2 linked regions of the Anolis sagrei genome follow. The protein of the gene in region 1 interacts with the protein of each later gene in a biochemical or structural test. Links are inferred from orthologs where the notes say so. Each region holds a gene or a part of one and is shown on either strand. Other genes may lie near its edges. The genes, in order: PIAS2 and small ubiquitin-related modifier 3.

Region 1 (9,279 bases):
GTTACATCCCATTTAGATTACTGCAACGCTCTCTACGTGGGGTTGCCTTTGAAGACTGCCCGGAAGCTCCAACTAGTCCAACGTGCGGCAGCCAGAATGCTAACACGAGCAGGGTACAAGGAGCATACTACTCCTCTGTTGCACCAGCTCCACTGGTTGCCAATTAGCTTCTGAGCACAATTCAAAGTGCTGGTGTTAACCTATAAATCCCTAAACGACTCCAACCCAGTTAACCTGTTCGAACATATTCTCCCCTATGAACCATCTAGGTTGTTAAGATCGCCTGGAGGGGCCCTGCTCTCGGTCCCACCAGCGCGTCTGGTGGGGACGAGGGACAGGGCCTTCTCGGTGGTGGTCCCTCGACTCTGGAACTCTCTCCCACTGGAGATCAGAACTGCCCCCTCCAATCTGTCATTCAGAAAACGGGTGAAAACCTGGCTATGGGGTTTGGCTTTCGACGAGTGAATCAATATTTCTGTGATCGGATAGATGACGATGAATGATGGACAACGAATTCACTATGACAACTGACCATTGTTATTATGTGATTGCATTTTGCTGTTATAACATTTTAATTGAATATGTTATATGATGTTTTTAATGATTGTTTCGTGATTTTATTGTTGGAAACCGGCCCGAGTCCCCCGATAGAGGGGAGAAGACCGGTATACAAAATTGCTAAATAAATAAATAATAAATCTATGCTATATATATAATACTGATATATAATATATAATACTGATATATTGTACTATGCTAATAATATAATATAATATAATATAAATATTATATTACTATGCTAATAGTATAATATATTGTATGAAAATATATATTGTAAGCTGCTCTGAGTCCCCTTCGGGGTGATAAGGGTGGCATATAAATGCCGTAAAAAATAAATAAATATAATTAATGCACTTTAATTAATGCATTTAACTGCATCTATGTTAGTATTATTATTATTATTTGAAACACAACAAGATGAGTCCACAGCAGACAAGATAACTCTGCTGGCTGTTGTATTGGATCACAAGTGTCTAGGACTGTGTGATATATTGGCGAATAATGTGTGCAGATCCCAGTAACGTGGCCTTCTGCAACTTGCAGATGGTAATTTTGTCAGCGCCGATTGTGTTTAAGTGCAGGCCAGGGTCTTTAGGCACTGCATCCAGTGTGCCGATCATCACTGGGACCACCTTGACTAATTTGTGCCAGAGTCTTTGCAGTTCGACCTTTAAATCCTTATATCGTGTCAGCTTTTCTAGTTGTTTCTCTTCGATCCTGCTGTCACCTGGGACAGCAATATCGACAATCCATTGTTATTATTATTATTTACACCCCACTTTTTCTCTCCACAAAGTAGACCCAATTTCTAAATATTTACTTAAGTTTCTAAAGTCACTTACAGTCATTGTTCTGCCAGGACTCACTGTCTGCTCTACTTGAAGCAAGTAGGCAACATTATTTGCCCCTAATTTCCCTAGGTAAATAAGAACTCCCATTCATTTCACCTCCACCTGGGAACAATTCTTCCTGATGTGTATCTTAATTTCTAAAAGGAAAATATATGATGTCTGTGTGTGAATGAGAAGCGTTCTCCAGTTATACTCCATTGTAAATGCATAGTGAATTGTAGTGAGTATTGTAACCCTGTGAGGATACTGTAAGAAGTAGGCAGCACAGCAGGCATGTAGCTGGGGGGGGGGGGGGGGCTTGAGGGGCTTAAGCCCCCCCCCCCCCAAATTCTCATGGTGGTTCGCGAAAAGGCCTTACTGGTACATTATTTAAACTGTTATGTTTATTCATATCATGATCTGATCACCATACTCAATATATCCCATATGCATGGGGGTATTGGGGTAATGATACAAAAGGTTTGCTAGGCTAGACCCTCTTTCACTCAGACTCAGCCCCCCCAACCCCCCCCCCTGAAAATTTTTTAGCCCCCCCCCCCACCCGAAACGAAATCCTGGCTACGGGCCTGCAGCACAGTAGTTGTTATTTTTATTTATTTATTAGCTCATATGGTTTGTTGTGCATGCTGTAAGCATGCTATATAAGAGATATAAATTATAACTACTGATTGTGCTTAATGTATATATGCTTCACATTTACTATTTTGTATTATTTTTTACTTTCTCTGTAAAACTTGTCAGGATTGTTTAACTTTGAGTGGAAACTGGAACTGCTCACCCAAGATAACACAATAAAGGAAAGGTAAGACAATGAGGAACTCTGGCAGCAAATAATATTATTATTGCTATTGTTAAATACTGCCAGAGACTGTCTAACAGGTCAGCACTAATACAGGTCTGAATATGACAATAAATAACAATTACTGAGATTACTAATATTGCTATTGTTAATATTAACAGAGACCCTTTGAGAATTGAATGCAATAACAACATTATTAGTCTCTGACAGGGATAAATACATTTTGTTGTTACTGTTGTTGTTTCTTCTCTGCTGTTTTGCTGTTGTAATTTTAGAGTTTTTTTTTATACTGGTAGCCAGATTTTGTTCATTTTCATGGTCTCCTCCTTTCTGTTGAAATTGTCCACATGCTTGTGGATTTCAATGGCTTCTCTGTGTAGTCTGACATGGTGGTTGTTGGAGTGGACCAGCATTTCTGTGTTCTCAAATAATATGCTGTGAAGCAGAGAGGAAACAATCAGGCACATCTTAATTGTCTGATTGTCCTTATCTAGTTGTCAGATTGCCCAAAGGCCTGGTCCCACAACCATGTCTTTACTTTCCTCCCGAAGAGGAGGAGGGAAGTTGATGACCTAATTACCCCCAGGAGTGAGTTCTACAGGTGAGGGGCCACCACTGAGAAGGCCCTGTTCCTCGTCCCCACCAACCTCACTTGTGATAGCGGTGGGGTCGAGAGTAGGGCCCTCCCAGATGATCTCAAAATCCGGGGTGGGACGTAGAGGGAGATGTGTTTGGACAGGTATGCTGGACTGGAACCGTATAGGGTTTTGTAGGTCAAAACCAACACCTTGAACTGGACCGGCAGCCAGTGGAGCTGACACAGCAGGGCGGTGGTGTGCTCCCTGTATGACGCTCCGGTGAGTAATCTGGCTGCCGCTTGCTGGACCAGTTGAAGTTTCCGAACAGTCTTATTTATTTATTTATTTATTTATTATTTAAACTTATATGCCGCCACTCCCCTGGGGCTTGGAGCGGCTTACAAGACTAGCTAAAATCTAACACAATTTAAAAGCAATTTAAAACAATTTAAAAACAACACTATCAAACATTAAAACCTGTTGAAACAGGTATGTCTTACATGCCCTGCGGAAAGATGGTGAGTCCCGCAAGGCACAGACTTCAAGTGGCAGAGTATTCCAGAGTGATGGTGCCACTGCTGTGAAGGCTCTGCGTCTGGTTGCTGTTAGATGCAAGGTCCTGACACTGGGGACTTCCAATAGATCTTGGTCCTCAGAACGGAGGGATCTCTGGGGTTGGTAGGGGGTGAGGCGGTCCCTCAGGTACATCGGCCCCAGACCATGCAAGGCCTTAAAGGTGAGTACCATCACTTTGAAAGTGATCCGGTGCTCAATTGGTAACCAATGCAGCTGTAGTAAGATTGGGGTTATGTGGCATCTCATCAGAATTCCCGCAAGAAGCCGAGTAGCTGCGTTTTGTACCAACTTGAGCTTCCGGATCATCGTCTTCAAGGGTAGAGTGCGTTGCAGTAGTCTATTCGGGATGTAACAAGAGTTCTTTCTCCCACCCTGGACATTATTCCACAGATATATAAACCCAAATTTCCTAGTTCCCAATAGACCTCACAACCTCTGAGGATGCCTGCCACAGATCATAGAATCATAGAATCAAAGAGTTGGAAGAGACCTCATGGGCCATCCAGTCCAACCCCCTGCCAAGAAGCAGGAATATTGCATTCAAATCACCCCTGACAGATGGCCATCCAGCCTCTGTTTAAAAGCTTCCAAAGAAGGAGCCTCCACCACACTCCGGGGCAGAGAGTTCCACTGCTGAACGGCTCTCACAGTCAGGAAGTTCTTCCTCATGTTCAGATGGAATCTCCTCTCTTGTAGTTTGAAGCCATTGTTTCGCATCCTAGTCTCCAGGGAAGCAGAAAACAAGCTTGCTCCCTCCTCCCTGTGGCTTCCTCTCACATATTTATACATGGCTATCATATCCCCAAAGATTACTGCAGATGCAGACTGTGGCCAGGAAATCAGAAGACGCTTACTTCTTGGGAGGAGAGCAATGTCCAGTCTCGATAAAGTAGTAAAGAGTAGAGACATCAGACTGGCAACAAAGATCCATTGCCTAGTCAAAACCATGGTATTCCCTGTAGTAACCTACGGATGTGAGAGCTGGACCTTAGGGAAGGCTGAGCGAAGGAAGATCGATGCTTTTGAGCTGTGGTGTTGGAGGAAAGTGCTGAGAGTGCCTTGGACTGCGAGAAGATCCAACCAGTCCATCCTCCAGGAAATAAAGCCCGACTGCTCACTGGAGGGAAGGATACTAGAGACAAAGCTGAAGTCCTTTGGCCACATCTTGAGGAGACAGCAAAGCCTAGAGAAGACAATTATGCTGGGGAAAGTGGAAGGCAAAAGGAAGAGGGGCCAACCAAGGGCAAGATGGATGGATGGGATCCTTGAAGTGACTGGACTGACTTTGAAGGAGCTGGGGGTGGTGACGGCCGACAGGGAGCTCTGGCATGGGCTGGTCCATGAGGTCGCGAAGAGTCAGAGACAATTGAACGAATGAACAACAATCATATCCCCTCTCAGCCTTCTCTTCTTCAGGCTAAACATGCACAGCTCCTTAAGCCGTTCCTCATAGGCCTTGTTCTCCAGACCCTTGATAATTTTAGTCGCCCTCCTCTGGACACATTCCAGCTTGTCAATATCTCTCTTGAATTGTGGTGCCCAGAATTGGACACAATATTCCAGATGTGGTCTAACCAAAACAGAATAGAGGGGTAGCATTACTTCCCTAGATCTAGACACTATGCTCCTATTGATGCAGGCCAAATAGACCTCACAACCTTTGAGGATGCCTGCCACAGATGCAGGGGAAATCTCAGGAGGGAATGCTTCTGGAGCATGGCCTTACAGCCCGGAAAACCTACAACAACCCAGTGATTCCGGCCATGGAAGACTTCATGTTGCTGTTGTTGTTGCCAAAACAGTGCTGCCCCTTTAAGAAAGGAAAGCCTCATTCTCAAGAGGGCTCCTCCCTCCCTCCCGCCCGCCCTTTCAAACACCCAGCGAAGGGGGCGTGGCCAGGAGTAGGCCCCGCCCCTCGGGGGGTCCACGTGACCGGCGGAGCGGCGGGGGAGGGGGCGCTGGGCGCGTGCCTCAGGATGGTGGCGGCAGAAGCGGCGGAGGCGGCGGAGGGAAAATGGCGGACTTCGAGGAGCTGAGGGTGAGCAGCAGGCGCGGGCGGTTGGAAGGCAAGGCCGCGGGGGCCTCCGTTGCCTGGGCCCCGGATCCCTCTGTCCACTGAGGCCTCCCAACCTTCCTTCCTTCTCTCCCTGGAGCCTGAGGCCTAGCTCGCCCCCACAGCCCGGGAATTGGGGCCTACACGGTCTTGTTCCTAAGGCTGCGAGCAGCGCCTAGGCCCCTCCAAGGAAAGAAGAAGGCCTTAGGCAGAATACATTGGAATATTACCAATAATTAGGTTCCTGTAGGTTTTTTCGGGCTATAGGGCCATGTTCTAGAGGCATTTCTCCTGACGTTTCGCCTGCATCTATGGCAAGCATCCCCAGAGGTAGTGAGGTCTGTTGGAAGTAGGAATTAACAACAGCTAAACAACAGAGCGTAAACAATCAGGCACATCAAATCACTCTCAACAGAAGATTCCCCCCAGGCACTTCCAAGCCATTAAATGCTAATCAAGGTGGTCAGTTGAAACATTCACACCTTGCTCCAACAGACAAGATTCCTTTGTCTCACCCTGGTCATTCCACAGATATAAAAACCCATTTTCCTATTTCCAACAGACCTCACTACCTCTGAGGATGCTTGCCATAGATGCAGGCGAAACGTCAGGAGAAATGCCTGTAGAACATGGCCCTATAGCCCGAAAAAACCTACAAGAACCTAGTGATTCCAGCCATGAAAGCCTTCGACAATACATTACCAATAATAATTATAATAAATCCGAATAGTCTCTCTTAATGGCCGGCCTGTGCTGTGAGCCACTAAGAGAGCCAGAAGGGTATACATATAGTAATAAATAATAGCAATAAATAATCAAAATAATAATCTGCACCTGAATATTCTCTCTAATTGTTTTTAATCCCCTGAAGCACTAAGAGAGCCAAGAGACTATACATATAGTAATAAATAGGTTTAATAAATTATAGTAATAGTTAAACATGAGCCAACAATGTGATGTGGCAGCAAAAAAAGCCAATGGGATTTTGGCCTGCATCAATAGGAGCATAGTGTCTAGATCTAGGGAATTAATGCTACCTCTCTATTCCGCTTTGGTTAGACCACACCTGGAATATTGTGTCCAATTCTGGGGACCACAATTCAAGAGAGATATTGACAAGCTGGAATGTGTCCAGAGGAGGGTGACTAAAATGATCAAGGGTCTGGAGAACAAGCCCTATGAGGAGCAGCTTAAGGAGCTGGGCATGTTTAGCCTAAAGAAGAGAAGGCTGAGAGGAGATATGATAGTCATATATAAATATGTGAGAGGAAGCCACAGGGAGGAGGGAGCCGGCTTGTTTTCTGCTTCCCTGGAGACTAGGACGTGGAACAATGGCTTCAAACTACAAGAGAGGAGATTCCATCTGAACATGAGGAAGAACTTCCTGACTGTGAGAGCCGTTCAGCAGTGGAACTCTCTGCCTCGGGGTGTGGTGGAGGCTCCTTCTTTGGAAGCTTTTAAACAGAGGCTGGATGGCCATCTGTCAGGGGTGATTTGAATGCAATATTCCTGCTTCTTGGCAGAATGGGGTTGGACTGGATGGCCCATGAGGTCTCTTCCAACTCTTCGATTCTATGATTCTAATAATAATAAATATCTTTATAAATAAAACATGTAATGTAGTATACATATAAATTTATTTATTTTTGGCATTGGTAGCCTTCCTTTCTCAGCCTTATAGCTACTCAAAGCGGCTTACAGAAATGGGCAGAATTTGATGCCATACATTCAAAGTACAGTTAAAAACATTCAACCTAATAATATAAAAACCATATAAATCATTAAAACCATTTTGAAAACATAGAATCACCAGTGTCGTCCTGTTAAAATCATTATCCAGCAGCTTCGTCTAGTCATTCTGTCTTCATTCTTCCTATTTCTGAATTATTCATTCCACTGCATTTCTTGGTCGGGCCCTCTTCCTTTTGCCTTCCACAATATATTATATCCTTAGCATAGTTCAATATCAGTATTAAATACATTGAATGTTTGTTGTGTATATGCTGTGCTCCGTCCTGAGTCCCCTTCGGGTTGAAAAGGGTGGAATATAAATGTTTTAAATAAATAAAATATTACTATATTGTACTATACCATTATATTGTAATATTATTAGTAATATTACATGTAATATAAATATATAATTGTAATATATTATTAGTAGTATTATATTGCATTACATTATAATATTATAAATATATGTGTATTTATAATTGATATTGTATTACATTATTTTATTAGAATAGCACAGGAGACAAGGTGGAACTGTCCCCTGGCCCCCTCTCTCTTCACTGGCCCAGAGCGGCAGTTGGTGCTGGGGGGAGGCAGGGGACAGTTTGATCTTATCTCCTGCATCACCGATGACATATGCAGGAGACAAGATGGAACTGTCCTCTGCCTCCCCCCCCCCCCCCTTCACTCTATCCCAGAGTGGCAGCTGGTTCTGAGGGGAGAAGTCCTCATCTGATGACATATGCAGGAGACAAGATGGAACTGTCCCCTGGCCCCCTCTCTCTTCATTTTGGCCCAGAGCAGCAGTTGGTGCTGGGGGGAACACATGAATATTCTCTGTAATAGGCAGCCTGTGTTGTTTTTAAGGCTGTGAGCAATTAAGAGAGCCAAATATAATAATTAATATAATATAATAATTAATATACACCTGGATAGTCTTTCTAATGGCCAGTCTATATTTTTAATTTTGTGAACCACTGAAGAGAGCATAATACATATAAATAATAATAATATAAACCTGAATATTCTCTCTAACGGCTGTCCTGTATTGTTACTGTGAGCTGCTAAGGGAAGACGGTAAAAGTTTCCTCTTGACACGAAGTCTAGTCGAATCTGACACCTCCATTTCTAAGCAATCAGCATTGTCCGTAGACACCTAGGTCATGCAGCCAGCATGACTGAATGGAGCGAAATTACCCTCCCCAAAAGTAGTACCTATTGATGTACTCACATTTGTATCGCCCTGCTCCCCGGATTCAAACTGCTAGGTTGCAAAAGCTGGGACTAACAATGGGAGCTCACCCTGTCCCACAGATTCGAACCACCGACCTTCTGGTCAGCAAGTTCAGCAGCTTCACAGTTTAACCCACTGCAGGGAAAGGAAGAAAGTAGAGTATAAATAAATATAATGAACACCTGCATATTCTCCTTCATGGCCAGACTATATTGTTTTCAATGTTGCAAGCTGTTTTGAGTCTCGTCTAAGAGAGGAAACTGGAGTTTTACTAAACACCAGACACAAACGTGGTTTGTAGGGCTCATCCCTCATGGAGAGGGCCTTCTCGATGGTGGCCCCCCAGCTTTGGAATGCCTTCCTCAGGGAGATTAGGCAGGCCCCCAAACTGCCCTTCTTCTGTACAAATCTGAAAACTTGGATGTTTAAACAAGCCTTTTAGAATGGCTAGTCCCAATGGTCCACAATCAATAACACAACATTGCACTTTCATTCCATGCTTTTGTTCCTTAGCTACAATTTGCACTATCCATTCCCTTGTCTTGTTTACAGTCTGGCCATGTCTTACGAAAGTTGTCACCATAGGTTATTGTTCTGAGTTAAATTGTTTTTTATATGCAAAATATTTTACTTTATTGTATTGTACTCTGTGTCTATTTTATGCTATGTTTTAGGCACTTTGTGCCATATATAAGCAACCTCGAGTCTCTTTGGGAGATAGAGGTGGGATTCAAGAATAAAGTTGTTGTTGTTGTTGTTGTTGTTGTTGTTGTTGTTGTAAATAAACATAGTAATGTTATAAACGTGAATATTTTTCTTAATAGCTGGCTTTTATTTGTCACTTTTGGCCCACTCCTAATTCTGCTCTGTTCCAAGGATAGCTTTCTTTGTCTACCATT
Region 2 (10,014 bases), on another chromosome or scaffold:
ATGATCCTCAGACCTTTAGCTTCATAGATCTTTTAGATCAGGCCTGAGCAAACTCTGGCCCTCTGGATGTTTTTAACTTCAACTCCCACAATTCCTAACAGCCTACTGGCTGCTAGGAATAGTGAAAGTTAAAGTCCAAAACACCCGAAGGGCTGAAGTTTGCCCATGCTTGTTTTAGATCCACTCTTCCATTAAATTCCTTACTAGTGATTATTCCAAGGTTTGGAACTCAATGACTCAGCCATAAAACTGCAAACAGATACTACCTTGAGCCCCAGAAACCTTGCCCAAAGCCTTCCCAGGAAACCTGTTTAGTTTCTAGTGATTTATCACTGCAGTCGTGAACATACTTGCAAACATGGTGCATTTATGTCACTGGAAAACATTCCCACTTTATTCAGATGTTTTGCCTCTGTTCAGACTCACCTACAGTGTCAGCAAAAACGCTCTAACTTGGAATAGGAGCAGCAATAAACAAAGTACAGTAGGCTCTTGGCTTATGGGGTTTGGTAGATGCCAGGAAAATGTAGTTTATATAAAACTTTATTTGTATCCTGCCACCAGTTGCTTGTTTCCAGTTGCTTGAGGCCTAGCTACTACAACAATACTCCATAATATACCATAAATTAATATTGATATACAGGAACTTAAAAGAAATTACCACAAATAAAGACAAACTTAACATAACACAGTGTTGCTGTATTTAAAAGGCAGCTTTGTGGATGCAGTATTATTCAGTTTTTCACCAGTTGTTTTCTTGTCCACCAACATTTTATTTTCCATTCTTGAGCTGGGAGCAGAGTAACTGCTTTGGGAGACGGTGATCGAACATTCGGACAACATGGCCAGTCCAGTGGAGTTGATTGCATAGGACTGTGGTACCCAACCTTCCTAATGCTGCAACCCCTTAATTCAGTTGCTCATGTTGTGGTGACACCCAACCATAAAATTGTTTTCGTTGCTACTTCATAACTGTAATTTTGCTACTGTTATGAATCATAATGTAAATATCTGATATGCAGGATGTATTTTGATAGTTAACTTACAATCAAAGAGCATTCTGAACTCCACCAATGATGGAATTGAAACAAACTTGGCACACAGAACTCCCACGACCAACAGAAAATAGTGGAAGGGTTTGGTGGGCATTGACCTTGAGTTTTGAAGTTGTAGTTCACCTACATCCAGGGAGTACTGTGGACTCAAGCAATGATGTATCTGGACCAAACTTGGCATGAATACTCAATATGCCCAAATGTGAAAACTGGTGGATTTTGAGGGAAATAGACCTTGACATTTGGGAGTTGGAGCTACTGGGATTTATAATTCACCAACAATCAAAGAGCATTCTGAACTCCACCAACAATGGGATTGAACCACTGTTGGCACACAGAACCCCCATCGTGGATCGGATTAACTTGTGGTCTGTCCAGCAGTCATCAGCACCTGTCATAGCTCTTGTGAGAAGCACATTGCGGTGGTCCCTGGCACATGTAATTACATAGTCTAAAAGGTGTCAATGATTTGATCGGGGGTGCTTCCATGATGTCTTGAGCTTGTTTTTCTGGCAGAAGAGCATGTTGGTGATGACAAGGTTGTGTTCCGCAAATTTGGTGAGAAGCAGTATGCCATTCAAGTTGCTGTTTCCAACCCCATATTTTCCTATGGTCCCTGGCCACAAGTCAAAGCCTCAACCAATTCTTGTGTTAAAATCCCCCAGGGGGATAATTTTGTTCTCCTTACAAGGTGCAGTATTATAGCGATGAAGATGGAAAATAAGGTTGGGGCAATAACACATCCCTGTTTGACACCTGATTCCTCCTTAAATGGGTCACTTTGGGAGCCATTGCCAGCCAAGAGTGTTGCCATCATATCATTGTGGAGGAGCTGCAGGATGTTCACAAATTTGTCAGGGCACCTGATTTTTTGGAGGATGGTCCAGAGAGCACTGCTATTCACTGTGTTGAATGCCATTGCGAGGTCAATGAATGCCATGTAGAGAGGATGATTTGTTCCCTGTATTTTTCTTGGAGCTGTCGTGCAGTGAAGATCATGTCCACTGTTCCTCTGCCGGGGTGGAAGTCATTCTGGTATTCTGGGAGAGTGTCTTCTGAGACAGGTAGAAGGTGGTTTGCAAGGATTCTTGCGAGGATTTTCTCAGCAGAGGTTAGAAGTGAGATACCTTGATAGTTTCCGTAGTCTGTTCTTTCCCCTTTTTTGAAAAGGGGGGTGATGGTGGCATCCTTGACGTCTGCTGGGATTTTCTCAGACTCTCACACTTTTTCAATGAGCTGGTGTAGTTGTTGTGTCAGCTCACCTATAAAGCCGTAAACAGTTTGGGACCTGCCTATCTTCGTGACCGCATTGTACCCTACGAACCTGCACAATCTCTAAGAACTTTTGGGGAAGCTCTCCTCTACTCCTATCCCTGTCATAAGTGCAGTTGGTGGGGACAAGAGAGAGGGCCTTTTCTGTAGTGGCCCCCTGGTTCTGGAACTCTCTCCCCAGGGAGATTAGACTAGCACCCAATCTGTCCACTTTCTGCAAAGAACTAAAAATGTGGATGTTCCATTGTGCTTTTGACTAGACAGTTCCCCTGATACTTTTGTCCCCAGCTATGATCCAAAACCAATTCTTGCACATTGCCACTGTTCCCCAACTAGAGATATCGTGCTCTCTTTACATTGCTCCCCATTTCCTAACGTTGTCATCTGGTTTCAGGACTTTACCCATTATCCATTATATTCATCCACAGCATCTTCCAAATCAATGGGGGTGCTGAAGCCTTCTAAAGCAGTTTCTTCCAAAGCATCATCATCCCATCCTTGTAAATGATTTGCACCATCCCACCTCCCCAACCTCAGAACTTTGCACTACTCAGACCATTGGTGGTTTGCTTGATTATTGTCTTATATTGTATTATATTGTATTATGCGTGGTTGTTTTTATATTGTTTTAAATTGTCTTTATGAATGTTGTTGTGTTATATTTTAACCATATTAAGTTCGGGCTTGTCCTCATGTAAGCCACCCAGAGTTCCTTCAGGGAGATGGAGGCGCGGTATAAAAATAAAGTAGTTATTATTATTATTATTTGAAACACAACAAGATGAGTCCACAATAAACAAGATCACTCTGCTGGCTGTTGTATTGGATCACACGTCGGACATTTCCAAGTGTCTAGGACTGTGTGATGTATCGGCGAATAATGCGTGCAGATCCCAGTAAGGCGGCCTTTTGCAGCTGGCAGATGGTAATTTTGTCAGCGCCTATTGTGTTAAAGTGCAGGCCAAGGTCTTTAGGCACTGCACCCAGTGTGCCAATCACCACTGGGACTACCTTTACTGGCTTGTGCCAGAATCTTTGCAGTTCGATCTTTAAATCCTCATATTGTGTCAGCTTTTCCTGCTGTCGCCTGGGATTGCCACATCAACAATCCATACTTTGTTTTTTAACACGATCGTAAGGTCAGGCGTATTGTACTCCAAAACTCTGTCAGTCTGAATTCTGAAGTCCCAGAGTAGTTTGACGTATTCATTTTCTGTAACTTTTTCAGGCTTGTGATGCCACCAGTTCTTTGTTGCAGGCAGATGGTGTTTGTGGTACAAGTTTGATTGTTTGGTATGGCAAAATATTATTAATATTATTATTATTAGCTCAGGTCCACCCTCTTTAAATATTTCAGCAGGGATCCCATCAGGTCCGCTGGCTTTGTTATTCTTTTGTTGGCTGATGGCATTACTGATTTCTTCCAAACTAGGCAGTGCTGCAAGCTCATCCCTGGTTTGTTGTTGCATGATTTATAAGAAAATCTCTTTGGCCACATTGGAGCTGTGATTCAGGAGGCTTTGGTAGTTCTCTTTCCAATGTAGTGCCATTGATTTTTTTTTTTTTGTCCTTCAAAAGCTTGGCTCCATCTCATGGGCATAGAGGGTATATGCCAAGAATTCTTGGTCTCTCGATGACTTTTGTGGCTTTAAAAATCCCTGAGCATCATGGGTATCTGCAAAGTGTTGGATTTCTTCAGCCTTCTTTGTTCACCAGATGTTCTTGAGCTCTCTGGTCCTTCTTTGGCTCTCAGCTTTTGCACTGTTAGAATTGTGGGAGTTAGAGTCCAAAACACCTGGAGGGCCAACATTTGCCCAGGCCTAATATGGATGACTTACATTTAGCACTGCATAGGCCTGCTTTTTTATTATTCATATTTATTGAGGTTTTTCTGAAATACACTTAAAAGAGGGGGAACATATCAGGTGTATAGGAAAGTAGGAAATACAAGCAGGGATGTTTTTATATTGTTTGTTTATTGTTATATTGTTTGTTATATTGTTGTATTGGCTGCATTGTTTATTACTGTTGATTGTTATATTGTTCGCTATATTGTTTATTGTTATATTGTTTGTAATATTGTTATTTTGGCTTCATTGTTATTGTTTATTGTTATATTGTTTGTTTTATCGGCTGCATTGTTTATTGTTATATTGTTTGTTATATTGTTATATTGTTTGTAATATTGTTATATTGACTGCATTGTTTATTATTGTTTATTGTTATATTATTTATTGTTTGTTATATCGGCTGCATTGTTTATTATTGTTTGTTGTTATATTGTTTATTGTTTGTTGTTGTTATATTGGCTACAATGTTTATTATTGTTTATTGTTATATTGTTTGTTATATCGGCTGTATTGTTAATTATTGTTTATTTTTATATTGTTTGTTATGTTGTTTATTGTTTGTTATATTGTTATATTGACTGCAATGTTTATTGTTTATTGTTACATTGTTCGTAATATTGTTATATTGGCAGCATTGTTTATTGTTTATTGTTATATTGTTTATTGTTTGTTATATTGTTATATTGGCTGCAATGTTTATTGTTTATTGTTACATTGTTTGTAATATTGTTATATTGGCAGCATTGTTTATTATTGTTTATTGTTTGTTTGTTATATTGGCTGCATTGTTTATTTTTGTTTATTGTTATATTGTTATAGTGGCTGCATTATTATTGTTTATTGTTATATTGGCTGCATTGCTTATTATTGTTTATTGTTATATCATTTGTTATATTGTTTATTGTTTGTTATATCGGCTGCATTGTTTATTATTGTTTGTTATATTGTTTATTGTTGTTATATTGGCTGCAATGTTTATTATTGTTATATTGTTTATTATATTGTTGTTTGTTATATTGATTGTTAATTATTGTTTATTGTTATATTGTTTGTTATATTGTTATATTGGCTGCATTGTTTATTGTTATTTATTGTTATATTTTTGTTTGTTGGTTAATGTTTGTTATATTGGCTGCATTGTTTATTATTGTTTATTGTTTGTTATTGTTCGTTATATTGGCTGCATTGGCCAATATAACATTTATTTCCTTCAGTGAAGACTATTTTTCTGAAGGAAGAAGTCACAAAGAAGTGATGTTTTGTAACGTATTTACTGATTTAAGCACACACCCACACCCACACAAGAGAGGCTCCTCCCCTTCTTCTTCCTCCCGCGCTGGAAAGCATGCCTCTCCCACCCACCCATCCTTCCTTCCCTCCCTCCCTTCCGCCGCATTCAGCCGGCGATGACGCACACAGCCGGGCGCGCTCCCGAGGAAAAGAACCCCGCTCGGGAGCGCGCCTCGGGGGCGAGCGCGGCCCCCCACGTGGCCCCGCCGGGAGCCAATCAGGAAGCGGGGATTGTGGGGCGCCAAGCGCGTGCTGGCGGGCAGTTGCTGCGGGCGGGATTGAAGAGAGAGAGAGAGAAGGGGAGATTGAGAGAGAGAGGGAGACGGGCTTCGGAGGTGCTTCTTTCCCTCAGCGAAGCGTCGCCATGTCCGAGGAGAAGCCAAAGGTGAGTTAAATCAGCGGGAGGGAAGGAGGCAAGGATTGGCCTCCATCATCCTCACCGCCGCCTTCTTCTGAGGGGAAAAGTGCGGCCTTCCTTTCTCTCAGTGAGGGAGAAGCCAGGCCTTTCCTCGACCCGGAAGAAGAACGGCGAGGCGGGGGTGGAGTGCTGTTAGGCCTCAGGGCTTGCCTCTCTCGCATCTTTGGCATCACCCACGCGTTATGGGATTTGTAGTTCCTCTTGGGCATGGGAGGCCTTGTGGTGATACAACTCCTATTGAGCCTTCCAAAGTGGCGCCAAACTGCATTCATTTTCGCCCTGATGTTTCTGATAGTTTATTACAGGCCTGGGCCAACTTGGGCCTTCCTCCAGGTGTTTTGGACTCCAACTCCCACCATTCCTAACAGCCTCAGGCCCGCTTAAGCGGCTGAGGGGCAAAAGGAAAGGGCCTGAGGCTGTTAGGAATGGTGGGAGTTGGAGTCCAAAACACCTGGAAAGCAGGCCCAAGTTGGTCCAGGCCTGCTTCACAATATTGTGAATGAAATTCCTTTTTTTGCATCAATGCATTTTATATTCATTCTCAAGCCCCATCTCCCAAGGTATCTCATAATGCATATATGCAAATATCCTTCTACTCCCAAGCCTTTTAAACTGTCTCTTAAGCCTCCAAACTGCAGCTCGACTCCCACAAAAGCGCGCGAAAGAAAAGCCCTCCCTGCGCATCCTTGCTTTGTGGAATCACCATCCAGGCCTACAAACCGGTTTGGAAATTACCTACACAGAGAAACCTCTTTCTTCAGTACTAGCATTACTAAATAGTCATGTTATACTTGATCTGGGACACCAAAATGCCCCAAAATTGGATTTCTTTGGCCCGTTCCACACAGCTGAATCAAATTCCACATTTTCTGGTTTGAACTGGGGGCCCTTCCACACAGCCCTATATCCCAGAATATCAAGGCAGAAAATCCCACATTATCTGAGTGTGGGCTCGGATAACCCAATTCAAAGCAGATATTATGGGATTTTCTTCCACACAGACCTATATCCCAGAATATCAAGGCAGAAAATCCCATGTTATCTGAGTGTGGACTCAGATAAACCCAGTTCGAAGCAGATATTATGGGATTTTCTTCCACACAGCCTTATATCCCAGAATATCAAGGCAGAAAATCCCACATTATCTGAGTGTGGAGTCAGATAAACCCAGTTCAAAGCAGATATTATGGGATTTTCTTCCACACAGGCCTGTATTCCAGAATAACAAGGCAGAAAATCCCACATTATCTGAGTATGATAACCCAATTCAAAGCAGATATTAATGGGATTTTCTTCCTAGATATTCTGGGATATAGGGCTGTGTGGAAGGGCTCTGGGATATAGGGCAGTGTGGACTCAGATAACCCAGTTCAAAGCAGATCTTGTGGGTTATTCTGCCTTGATATTCTGGGTTATATAGCTGTGTGGAAGGGCCCTGTGCGTTTTCCGGGCTGTATGGCCATGTTCCAGAAGCATCCTCTCCTGACGTTTCGCCCACATCTATGGTGGGCATCCTCAGAGGTTGTGAGGTCTGTTGGAAACTAGGCTAGTGGGATTTATATACCTGTGGAATGGCCCAAGGTGGGAGAAAGAACTCTTGTCTGCTGGAGGCAGGTGTGAATGTTGCAATTGAACCACCTTGATTACCACTGAATGGCCTTGCAGCTTCAAAGCCTAGCTGCTTCCTGCCTGGGGGAATCCTTTGTTGGGAGGTAATTAGCTGGCTCCAAAATTGTCTATGTGTTTTGAATGAAAGAGTGATACCTGTGCATCTTGATGGTTCACTGCAGCCAGTCGTGTTCATGCAGCATATTATTTAAGGTTTGTGTGTAAAATGGACCTTAAGCGTCCATTAATTTCTTGTTCTGGACTATGGGCCCCAGCTCAAAGACGGTTCATTATGTGTATATATCATCAGATATTCCCAAATCCAAAACTCTTCTTGTCCCCAGCATTTGGGATAAGGCAGACATGGGCCCTCCCAGTGTTTTGGACTGCAACTCCCACAATTCCTTACAGCCGGTAGGAATTGTGGGAGTTGAAGTCCAAAACACCGAGAGGGTCGAAGTTTGCCCATGCCTGGGATAAAGGATACTCTTGGCCCTTCCACACAGCCATATAACCCAGAATATCAAGGCAGGAGATCCCACATTTTCTTCTTTGAACTGGAATATATGGCAGTGTAAACTCAGATAACCCAGTTCAAAGCCGATATTGTGGGATTTTCTGCCTTGATACTCTGGTTTATACGGCTGTGTAGAAGGGCCCCCATTTTCCACCTTGAAGTTGTAATGCCTTGCCTCTTGCTGAGTGAACCGAGGAAGCAATAAAAGATGAGAAGAAGGGACTGCTTCCCTCCCCGGAGCTCTTATTGTCAAGGGATGGCGATGGCGTGCGACCACCACGCGGCTTCGCATCAGCCTAGACTTCCCTTTCCTTTTCCCTCCCTCTTTCGTTTCCGTTGGAAGTAGGGGAGCCGCTCTGGGATTCATGTTGTCTTCCCTACTGGTTTCCTTCGGATTTAGATCCCTGCCGCCCACGTGCTTGTGCATCCAGCGCTTTACTCTGGGCGTTAGATTCCTCTGCTGCACAAAACTTAAAGATATATGAGCCCCTTCTACTTTTCACTCAGGCAACCCTAGCTTCCATAGATTCGCCTTCCCTAGTTTAATCATTGTGCAGTGGAAAGGGGAGGGATATTATAGCATGTAAGGAAGAGATTAACACTTATCTTCTCCAGTTGGAAATTGGCTATTTCTATTTATGGCAGAAAGTCCATTGGCATCAGTGAGCGCAGTCCCGCCCCCCCCCCCCAAACACCTTAGGCTCCTTCTACACTGTCATATAATCCAGGTTATCAAATCAGATAATCCACGTTATCTTCTTTGAATTGGATTATATGAGTCTACACTGCCATATAATGCAGTTTAAAGCAGATAATCTGGATTTTATATGTCAATGCAGAAGGGGCCTTAGTTCAGCGGGGAAGATCATTTGATTGATACCAATAGTACTTTCAGCTGTACATGAAATCCTCTGAGCCTATACTGCAATATAATCCAGTTCAAAGCAGATAAACTGAATTTTATACGGCTGTGTAGAAATATGGATTTATACAACTGTGATGCGCTCAGCACAGTCCATAATATCTAGGCCCCTTCTTATGGACTGTGCCCAGCACAGTTGTATAAATCCACATTTCTATACAGCCGTATAGAATTCAGTTTATCTGCTTTGAACCGTATTATATTGCGATATAGACTCAGAGGATTTCATGTACAGCTGAAAGTACTTCTATTGGTATCAATCACATGATCTTTCCCCCTGAACTAAGGCCGCTTCTGCACTGCCATATAAAATCCAGATTATTCAAAGTAGATATTGTGTGATTTATTCCTTGATATTCTGTGTTATATTGCTATATTGAAGGGCCCCTTGTAGATTACCTGAGTTGATATTCTGGCTTTTATTGAGATGTGGAAGGGCCCCATGTGATTTTAAAAGGGTTGGAGTGGGGCAGTGGTTTCCAAACTTTGATCCTGGTATTTTGGACTTCATTTCCCAGAAGCCTCAACCAGCATGAAATCCTGGATCAAAACACCAGGTGTGTTTTCACTGTAGAATTAATGCAGTTAGTTATGCACTGCTCCAGCCACTGTGGCCCAATACTGTACAATCTTGGGAGTTGTAGTTTTGCAAGGTCTTTAGCCTTCTCTGCAAAAGGGTGCTCGTGCCTCACCAAACTACAACTCCCAGGATTTCATATCATTGAACCATTGCTGTTTAAGTGGGTCAAAGTTCATTAATTACTCACCATAGATGCACCTTTGAAGGATCAAAGTTTGGAATTTCAGCATTTGGGGAAATTCTGAGTTTTAAATCTCAGTGGGGTTTTAGAAGGTGCACTTATACCAGAGGTCTTCAAATTTTTAAAGCCAAGGGCTGGTTCACAGACTATTGCGGGAGAGACGGACTGTAGTTTGAAAAAGATGAACAGATTCCTATGTACACTGCAGATATCTTAATGCAAAATAAATAAATAAAGATAAAAATTGTTCGTTGTTCATTCGTTCAGTCGTCTCCGACTCTTCGTGACCTCATGGACCAGCCTACGCCAGAGCTCCCTGTC

Evidence for each region.
Region 2: the proteins of PIAS2 (region 1) and small ubiquitin-related modifier 3 form a complex in vitro, tested with the Homo sapiens proteins (2 studies listed by BioGRID, with this or other methods). The link is inferred for Anolis sagrei from reciprocal best matches to the Homo sapiens genes PIAS2 and SUMO3.

Annotation. Positions count from the first base shown.
Region 1 is NC_090022.1:289,685,975-289,695,253, forward strand, and holds the start of PIAS2 (E3 SUMO-protein ligase PIAS2), read left to right. Parts: upstream 1-5,288; 5' UTR 5,289-5,379; coding exon 5,380-5,403; intron 5,404-9,279. UniProt on the Homo sapiens protein: Functions as an E3-type small ubiquitin-like modifier (SUMO) ligase, stabilizing the interaction between UBE2I and the substrate, and as a SUMO-tethering factor.
Region 2 is NC_090023.1:223,326,549-223,336,562, forward strand, and holds the start of small ubiquitin-related modifier 3, read left to right. Parts: upstream 1-5,667; 5' UTR 5,668-5,831; coding exon 5,832-5,852; intron 5,853-10,014. UniProt on the Homo sapiens protein: Ubiquitin-like protein which can be covalently attached to target lysines either as a monomer or as a lysine-linked polymer. Does not seem to be involved in protein degradation and may function as an antagonist of ubiquitin in the degradation process.